Callithrix jacchus: one gene and its partner. The protein of the gene in region 2 purifies or fractionates together with the protein of the main gene of each other region. This does not show direct contact. Links are inferred from orthologs where the notes say so. Each region holds a gene or a part of one and is shown on either strand. Other genes may lie near its edges. The genes, in order: NELFA and NELFB.

Region 1 (4,233 bases), on a different chromosome or scaffold from region 2:
TCTGTCAGCTAAGAAGACTCAGAAAAAAAATGACAGGAACTGACTGGGTGATCAGCACGTCAATATGTCAGTGACCAGAAGGAGAGAGCACAGCCTGAAACAGACACACAGCAGAAGTCAGTGCAGACGGATGGAAAAGGACAGTCATTCTAATCAACGCTGGGTGCGGACTAGCGGGACTAACTGCACGTCGTGTGGAAAGTTAGACTCCTAGCTCCACACAGTCGTCAATTCCACAAAGACTGAAGACTCAAGTGTGAACGGCACAATGTACAGCTTCGCCAAGATAACCGGGAGTGTTCCCAGCATGTCCTCCAGTGAGACACAGTTGGCACCAATGATGGGGAACTGATGAATACCCCACCTCTGTTAAAACCAGGAGCTGCTCTTCATCCACAGTTCCAGGAAGAAGGCTGGGCACATGGATCACACTTGTAATCCCAACGCTATGGGAGGCCAAGGCAGGAGGATCACTTGAGGCAAGAGCAGCCTGGGCAATATGGTAAGACCCTCATATACACACACACACACACACACACACACAGCCTGGGCAATATGGTAAGACCCTCATACACACACACACACACACACACACACACACACAGACACACACACGTATTAGCCAGGTATAGTGGCGGCGTGTCTGTAGTCCCAGCTACTCCAGAGGTTGAGGAGGGAGGACTGCTTAGGCAGGAGTTCAAGGTTAAAGTGAGCTATGATTATACCACTAGACTCCCGCCCTGGTGACAGAGCAAGATGCTATCTCAAAATAAAAAAATGAAAGAAAGAAAGAAAAAATTCCAGGAAGCTAAGTCAAAGGACAACTGGGAGAGAGTCCTAACTGAAAAAAGACTGTTATCTATAACAAACAATGGTAAGAAATAATAAAAAAGAAAGCCCTTAACAAAACAATGGGAAGAGAATTTAAAAGCAGATTTGAATATACAATTCTCAAAACAGAAAACCAAACAGCAGGCCGAGTGCCATGGCTCACACCTGTAATCCCAGCCCTTTAGAGGCCGAGGCAAGCAGACTGCTTGAGGTCAGGAGTTCAAGACCAGCCTAGGCAGCATGGTGAAACCCTGTCTCTACTAAAAATACAAAACGTAGTTGGGTATGGAGGCGTATGCCTGTAATCCCAGCTACTCAGGAGGCTGAGGAGGGAGCATCACCGGAGCACAAGAGGCTGAGGTAAGCCATGATTGCACCACTGCACCACAGCCTGGCTGACACCGAGAGACCCTGTCTCAACAACACAAAACAAAAAACAGAAACAAAACACTCTGAAAAATAATCTGGCATAATCCCCTGATCCCCACAATGTCCACTCCTAGATATTATACCCTGGAGAAATCCAAGCTTACAAACACCCGAACACATACATCACAATCATGTAGTAACCGCATTATTTACTACAGCAAAAAACTGGCCGTAAGCTGAATGTGTCACTGCGATAGAATGGATGGCTTCGTACTCAGAGAGAGGAATACCACACAGCAGTGAAAATTACACCCGTCAGCTGCAGTGTGGATGAAAGTGTCCCGGGGTCCACCAAGAGGACACATGCATGCCACGCACAGAACACACACTCTGTGAGCCCATCACACGATCCAAATCGGGCAACCAGGCTGTGTCACTTAGGGGCGCGTCACTGCTAACACCAGGGGGATGGCACAGAAACGACTCCCTTTCCAAAGTGTGGGAAGGGAAAGGGAGAAGCCCGTGATTACCAAGGGGCGGCTTCCAAGGAACAGGCACGGTTCTGTCGCTCCACCTGTGCGAGGGTCGCAGGGGTGACTCGCGATGCTATCACTATTCGTTAAAAGTGAACGAACATGTACTTTTCATACATGTTACATCTCAGTCGAAAACAACGACAACCTACGAGAGATGGCAACAGACCAGTGGCCGGGGACCTGTAAGCAACCACGGGGCTTCGACGGTCTGCAAAGCCACTCGGTTTCCTTCGCACGGAAAGCTCACAGTAGAACGTTTAGGAAGAGAGACCACGCGCTTCGCACACCCACTCGCTGGAATGGCGCAAAACCGGCTTACAGAAAAGAGTCCAAAGAACACAGGGCGCTCCGGACGGCTGGGGTCTCTGCGGGGTGAGAACAAGAACACCCGGCTAGCGGGCGGCCCCTTCCTCGCCTGGGTTTCTCTCGGGATCCCCGCCCCCGCCCAGGCCACCAGGGCCACGTCCCCGACGGGAAACCTCGATGGGAGATCCCGCTGGGGCCGGCGCGCCCCCCCCCCCCGAGAGTCCGTCCGTGGGGGAGTGGGCGGCTGAGGACCGGGGCGGGGGAGCCGGGGCGAGTACCCGGGGGCCCAGGGTGGCCAGTGAGGACCCCGGGCCCGGCGGAGAGGGGGTTGAGGATCCAGGGGAGGTGAAAACTTAGGTGAGGGTGAGGACGAGAGGTGGGGAGGTGAGCACCGTAGGGAGGGTTCCCGGATCGGGGCTGAGGTGCGACGGGGGCGCCTGGGGACCCAGGATGGGGATGAGAACTCAGGTGGGGGATGAAGATCGGGGCGGGGGATGAGGACCCAGTGGGAGGTGAGGACTGGGGGGGCGGGGGGAGCTGAGGACCCTGGGGGGACTGACAGTCTGCAGAGAGGTGAGCAGGTGGGAGGAGGGACCGAGGAGGTTCGGGAGCGAGGCCAGGAGTGGGGTGTGAGGGTCGGAGGTGGGAAGGTTGGGGCTCTGGGTCCCAGGGAGGCGCGGCCGTGGGGCGCCCCGCCTGCCTCACCTCATCCACCGTGCGGCGCGGGAGGTGCAGCGTCCCGAGCAGCAACTTGAGCTTCACCGCCGACGAGAGACCGTGAAAGCAGAGACGGATGTTGTCGATGACCGCGGCCGTGAGCAGGGACGCGATGCTGGGCGGCGCCCACAGCTCGTCCGTGGCCCCCAGCTTGTTGTGCAGCCACAGGCCCGTGTCACTCTCCCGCATGGACGCCATCTTGGAAGGAAGCGCGCGCTGTAGCGCCGGCATCTTATGAAGACACCTAGGCGCCCCCGGCTAGGACCCCAACATGGCGGCGCCCAGTGAGATGCGGCCTCCGGGCCGCGGAAGTGGCGCAGGCAGCGCGGCCCCACGAGCGGAGCTTCCAACGAGAGCGCTTCTGGGCGGCGGCCGCGTCTCCGGGAAGCTCTGTGGCAGCTCCGAGAGCCGGATTGACGGGGCGCCGCCGAGCAAGGACTCTAGGCTTCCGTATTGCATCATGGCGGCGCCCGCTGCCGGCTCTCGGAGAGACCCCAAAAGATGACGTCACGAATGGGTCGCGCTTGGAGGTCCGGTCTGCGTCCTGGCGTTCTCAGTGCCAGGTGCCAAGCGCTGAGGAGTCGCGGCTCGCCCGGTGGGGCGGAGGCTCCCGGTGGAACCTGCCCCGCCGTCCGCCCTTCGCTTTCTCCTCACTTGGCTCTCGGCGCGGACCGGGTGGACGCCGCGCCTGCCCCGCCCCCCCCGCCCGGTCCCCGCACCTGCGCGGAGAGGAGCCGCGGCCCTGCGGAACAAGCCTGCGGGATCCCGGTCCCCGCGCTGAGCCCGCTCTGCCCGTTGGGCGCTGCGGACGGGGCTGCGCTGAGCAGTCGGGTCGGAGGGCGCTCGAGGAGCAGTCGCAGGGCACCCGAGACCCCGCAGTGCGGGGAGACCCCTGCTCCCACTCGGGCTGGAGCCGCCGGGCGGGAGCTAGTAGTGAACTTTACAGTGTGACGAGCTTGTCATTAGATACCAACGTTAGTAAAAGTTAAACTTCATTTCCTTATGTTCATTTTACTCTTTTGCCTTTTTGAGGAGCTCTTCCTATGTTGGCCAGGCTGGTCTCGAACTCCTGACGTCAAGCCTCTGATTCCCAGAGTGCTGGGGTGTTACAGACCCGGGCTGCCTGGCCTGGTCTCTGTGTTACAATCTCTTTTTTAAAAAGGTCTTTTCGTTATTCTTCACAGCTCTTGCCACTGGCCGGTGGGAACGCCGGGTGAGAAGGGCGGAGCCGGATGCTAGCAGTGCCCTGGCCCTGGCGGCTCGGCCAGTTTGAACTCCGCAAACCAGCGAATGCTACAGATCAGGGCTGGAGCGGCGGTTTTGTTGCCTGGTTAAACTGAAGAAAGTGATAGAGACAATGTGGATGATGGAGATTACTCTTAAAACTGTGTCATGTCTTAGATGAATAAGTAGAAGAAGAAGAAAAAAAGAACCCTCCCCCAAAAACTGTCATGTCCACAACCATTACATGGCG
Region 2 (3,801 bases):
CCTTTTTTTTTTGAGGTGGAGTTTCACTCTTGTTGCTCAGGCTAGAGTGCAGTGGTGTGATCTCAGCTCATCACAATCTTTGCCTCCAGGGTTCAAGTGATTCTCTCGCTTTAGCCTCCTAAGTAGCTGGGAGTACAGTCATGTGCCACCACGACTGGCTAATTTTGTATTTTTAGTAGAGACAGGGTTTCACCATTGGTCAGGCTGGTCTTGAACTCCTGATCTCAGGTGATCTGCCCACCTCGGCCTCCCAAAGTGCTGGGATTACGGTGTGAGCCACTGTGCTTGGCTGTTTTTTTAAAATTCTTTAATTTGAAAGGTCTTTGAGTGCATTAAGGACAAATTGCGAACCTGAATTTTTTTTTGTGGTAATGGAGTCTTGCTCTGTCACCAGGCTGGAGTGTAGTGGTGTGATCTGGCCGCCTCCGGGTTCAAGCGATTCTCCTGCCTCAGCTTCCTGAGTAGCTGGGATTACAGGTGTGAACCACCATGCCCAGCTAGCTTTTGTATTTTTAGTAGAGATGGGGTTCCACAATGTTGGCCAGGATGGTCTCAATCTCCTGACCTCGTGATCTGCCCGTGTTGGCCTCCTAAAGTGCTGAGATTACAGGTGTGAGCCACCGCACCCAGCCACCTTAAGCTTTTTTTTAAGAAACCCAGCATGTGGTGGGCGTTCACTGCCAGTCCTGGAGGCCACCCCTCCTGAGGACCTTGCCGCTGATGGGAGGGGCAACAGGTGTTGCATTAACGCCAAGGCGGCCTCCTTCCAGGGACCTGTCCATGATCCTGTGTGACCCCTTTGCCATCAACACGCTGGCGCTGAGCACAGTCAGGCACCTGCAGGAGCTGGTTGGCCAGGAGACGCTGCCCAGGGTGAGCTTGGGCTTCACCAGCGGCTGCCGGGGCCCTGTGGCTGCCCCGCTGGCTGCCCTGGGTGGTCAGGGGTAGGGACTTTGGTGGCCCATGTAGAGTCCCGTGCTTCCCCCCGTGAGACTGGGTTTCACCCTGTGTGTGGGGCCAGTGATCCCAGTCCTGTGGACCTGGCCATGAGCACCAGAGACCCTGCTGGGTAGAGAGTGGGGTCAGAGGAGCTCCGCGCCCAGGACATGCCGCCCGGAAGATGCGCTGAGCCTGTGCTCCCTGCAGGATAGCCCCGACCTCCTGCTGCTGCTCCGGCTGCTGGCGCTGGGCCAGGGAGCCTGGGACATGATTGACAGCCAGGTCTTCAAGGAGCCCAAGATGGTAACGAGCCTCCTGTGGGGCAGAGTCACAGGAGAGGTTGTGGGCTGGACATGGGGTGGAGGGAAGGTGGTAGCAAGGTGATTTTGGAGGCCCCTTTGGTCCCAAAGCTTCCTTTCTGGAGGTGCCAACCTTCCTTTTGGGAAAATGCCCACCAGGGGTGTTCTGGGGTCTTCACTGACTGCGGCTGGCCACGGGGTGGCTGCTGCTCTTTGTGGATCCAGGCCCAGAAGGGGGTTTGAGGAGATGGCCCTGGGTGGGGGACTTGGGAGGTGGGAAGAGGGGCCTGGCGACCTGGAGAGGAGGGTTGGGGTGGTAAGATGTTGGGGGGGGAGCAGGAGGGCCAAGGGCAGGGTGTGTGTCAGCTGGAGTGCGGGATGTGGGGCCCAGGCCCCTCACGGCCTCCCTCCTCCTAGGAGGTGGAGCTCATCACCAGGTTCCTCCCAATGCTCATGTCCTTCCTGGTAGACGACTACACTTTCAACGTGGATCAGAAACTTCCGGCTGAGGAGAAAGCCCCGGTCTCATATCCAAACACACTTCCCGAAAGCTTTACTAAGTATGGGCTGCAGGGCTGAGGGGCAGGGGTGGCACTGTTCCCCAGGGGCTGCTGCAGGGTTGGTCTTGGGTCGAAGTGGGGGCTGACAGGGTGCTGATGGCGCCCTGGGCACAGGTTTTTGCAGGAGCAGCGCATGGCCTGCGAGGTCGGGCTGTACTATGTTCTGCACATCACCAAGCAGAGGAATAAGAATGCACTCCTCCGCCTGCTGCCGGGGCTGGGTGAGTGAGTCCTGACTGAGGGGCTGGGTGAGTGCTGACTACCGGGTCTGGTGAGTGCTGTCTGCCGGGGCTGGGTGAGTCCTGACTGTCGGGGCTGGTGAGTGCTGACTGCCGGGACTGGGTGAGTCCTGACTGTCGGGGCTGGTGAGTGCTGACTGCCGGGACTGGGTGAGTCCTGACTGTCGGGGCTGGTGAGTGCCGACTGCCAGGTCTGGTGAGTGCTGACTGTCGGGGCTGGTGAGTGCTGACTGCCGGGTCTGGTGAGTGCTGACTGTCAGGGCTGGGTGAGTGCTGACTACCGGGACTGGTGAGTGCTGACTGCTGGGGCTGGGTGAGTCCTGACCGTCGGGTCTGGTGAGTGCTGACCTCTGGTGAGTGCTGACCGTCGGGACTGGTGAGTGCTGACTGCCCGGGCTGGGTGAGTGCTGACTCCCGGGGCTGGTGAGTGCTGGCTGGTGGTGCCTGGCGCGCCCACCCTGTGGCAGCTGCCGTGTGTGATCCTGCCCAGGGTGCAGTCCCAGGCCCCCAGGAGCTGCCATCTCCCCAGATCACCTCCGACTTTGCTAGCTTTGTTTTCACTTTTTTTTTTGAGGCAGAGTCTCGCTTTTTTGCCCAGGCTGGAGTGCAGTGGCACAGTCTTGGCTTACTGCAACGTCAGGTTCCCGAGTTCCTCAGCCTCCTAAGTAACTGGGATTACAGGTGCCCGCCACCACACCTGGCGAACTGTTATATTTTTGGTAGAGAAGAGGTTTCACCATATTGGTCAAGCTGGTCTCCAACTCCTGACTTTGTGATCCACCTGCCTTGGGGTCCCAAAGTGCTGGGATTACAGGCGTGAGCGTCCGCGCCCGGCCTTGTTTTCACACGTTTTTGTCTGCAATCTGTTTTACTAGAAAGGGAGAGGGAGTTCAACTTTGTACTTTCCAACAAAAAGGTGATGCAAGAGCTGTCTTTATTTTATCCAGACTGGCAAGGGGTGTGGGGCCCCTCGGTGCTCAGAGGATAGAGCGAGGGGGAGGGAGGGAGAGCACCTGTCTCAGTTCCCCACCCCAGGCGGTGACAGGCCCTCTTCCCCCTGGGAGCCTCCTTGGGGATGGTTGTTGCAAACTAGGAAAAAGAGGAGGGGTCCAGATGGCCACCTTCAGAAGTAGAGCTGCAGGTCCCATGGGGGAGATGGGACCACTCTGGCCATGTGGCCCCCACTGCGGCTGTGACACGGACCCTGGGCCCTTCCCTGCTGACTTGTCTGGGGTTTGCCGACTTAGTGCGCCTTGTGCTACTCTAACAGAGACTCCAGACGGAGCAATTTAGAAAGAGCCGGGATGGCCGGGCGCAGTGGCTCAGGCCTGAAATCCCAGCACTTTTGGAGGCCAACACAGGCGAATCACGAGGTCAGGAGCTGGAGACCAGTCTGGCCAACATGGTGAAACCGCACGTACAAAAAAATACAAAAATTAGCTGGGCACCATGGCAGGTGCCTGTAGTCACAGCTACTTAGGAGGCTGAGGCAGGAGAATTGCTTGAACTGGGAGGTGGAGGTTGTTGTGAGCCGAGATCGTACCACTGCACTCCAGCCTGAGTGACAGAGCGCAACTGTCCTGAGAAAAAAAAAAGCAGGGACTTCTCACAGTTCCGTAGGCTGGGAAGTCCAGGGTCTGCATCTGGCGGGCTTTTTCGTACGGCATCCTATGGGATGGGCAGGCAAGAGAGCAGGGGCAGGGGAGACTGAGCCAGATGCAGAGCCAGACAGAGGAGAGACCCAGAGGAGAGACAGAGATGCAC

Evidence for each region.
Region 1: the proteins of NELFB (region 2) and NELFA purify together in Homo sapiens (affinity purification with mass spectrometry; 8 studies listed by BioGRID and IntAct, counting the BioPlex papers as one, with this or other methods). This does not show direct contact. The link is inferred for Callithrix jacchus from reciprocal best matches to the Homo sapiens genes NELFB and NELFA.

What each region holds. Positions count from the first base shown.
Region 1 is NC_133504.1:191,136,686-191,140,918, reverse strand, and holds the start of NELFA (negative elongation factor A), read right to left. Parts: upstream 2,973-4,233; 5' UTR 2,958-2,972; coding exon 2,748-2,957; intron 2,102-2,747; coding exon of another isoform or gene 2,056-2,101; exon of another isoform or gene 1,731-2,055; intron 1-1,730. UniProt on the Homo sapiens protein: Essential component of the NELF complex, a complex that negatively regulates the elongation of transcription by RNA polymerase II.
Region 2 is NC_133502.1:185,669,320-185,673,120, forward strand, and holds part of NELFB (negative elongation factor B), read left to right. Parts: intron 1-770; coding exon 771-873; intron 874-1,146; coding exon 1,147-1,242; intron 1,243-1,655; coding exon 1,656-1,798; intron 1,799-1,912; coding exon 1,913-2,019; intron 2,020-3,801. UniProt on the Homo sapiens protein: Essential component of the NELF complex, a complex that negatively regulates the elongation of transcription by RNA polymerase II.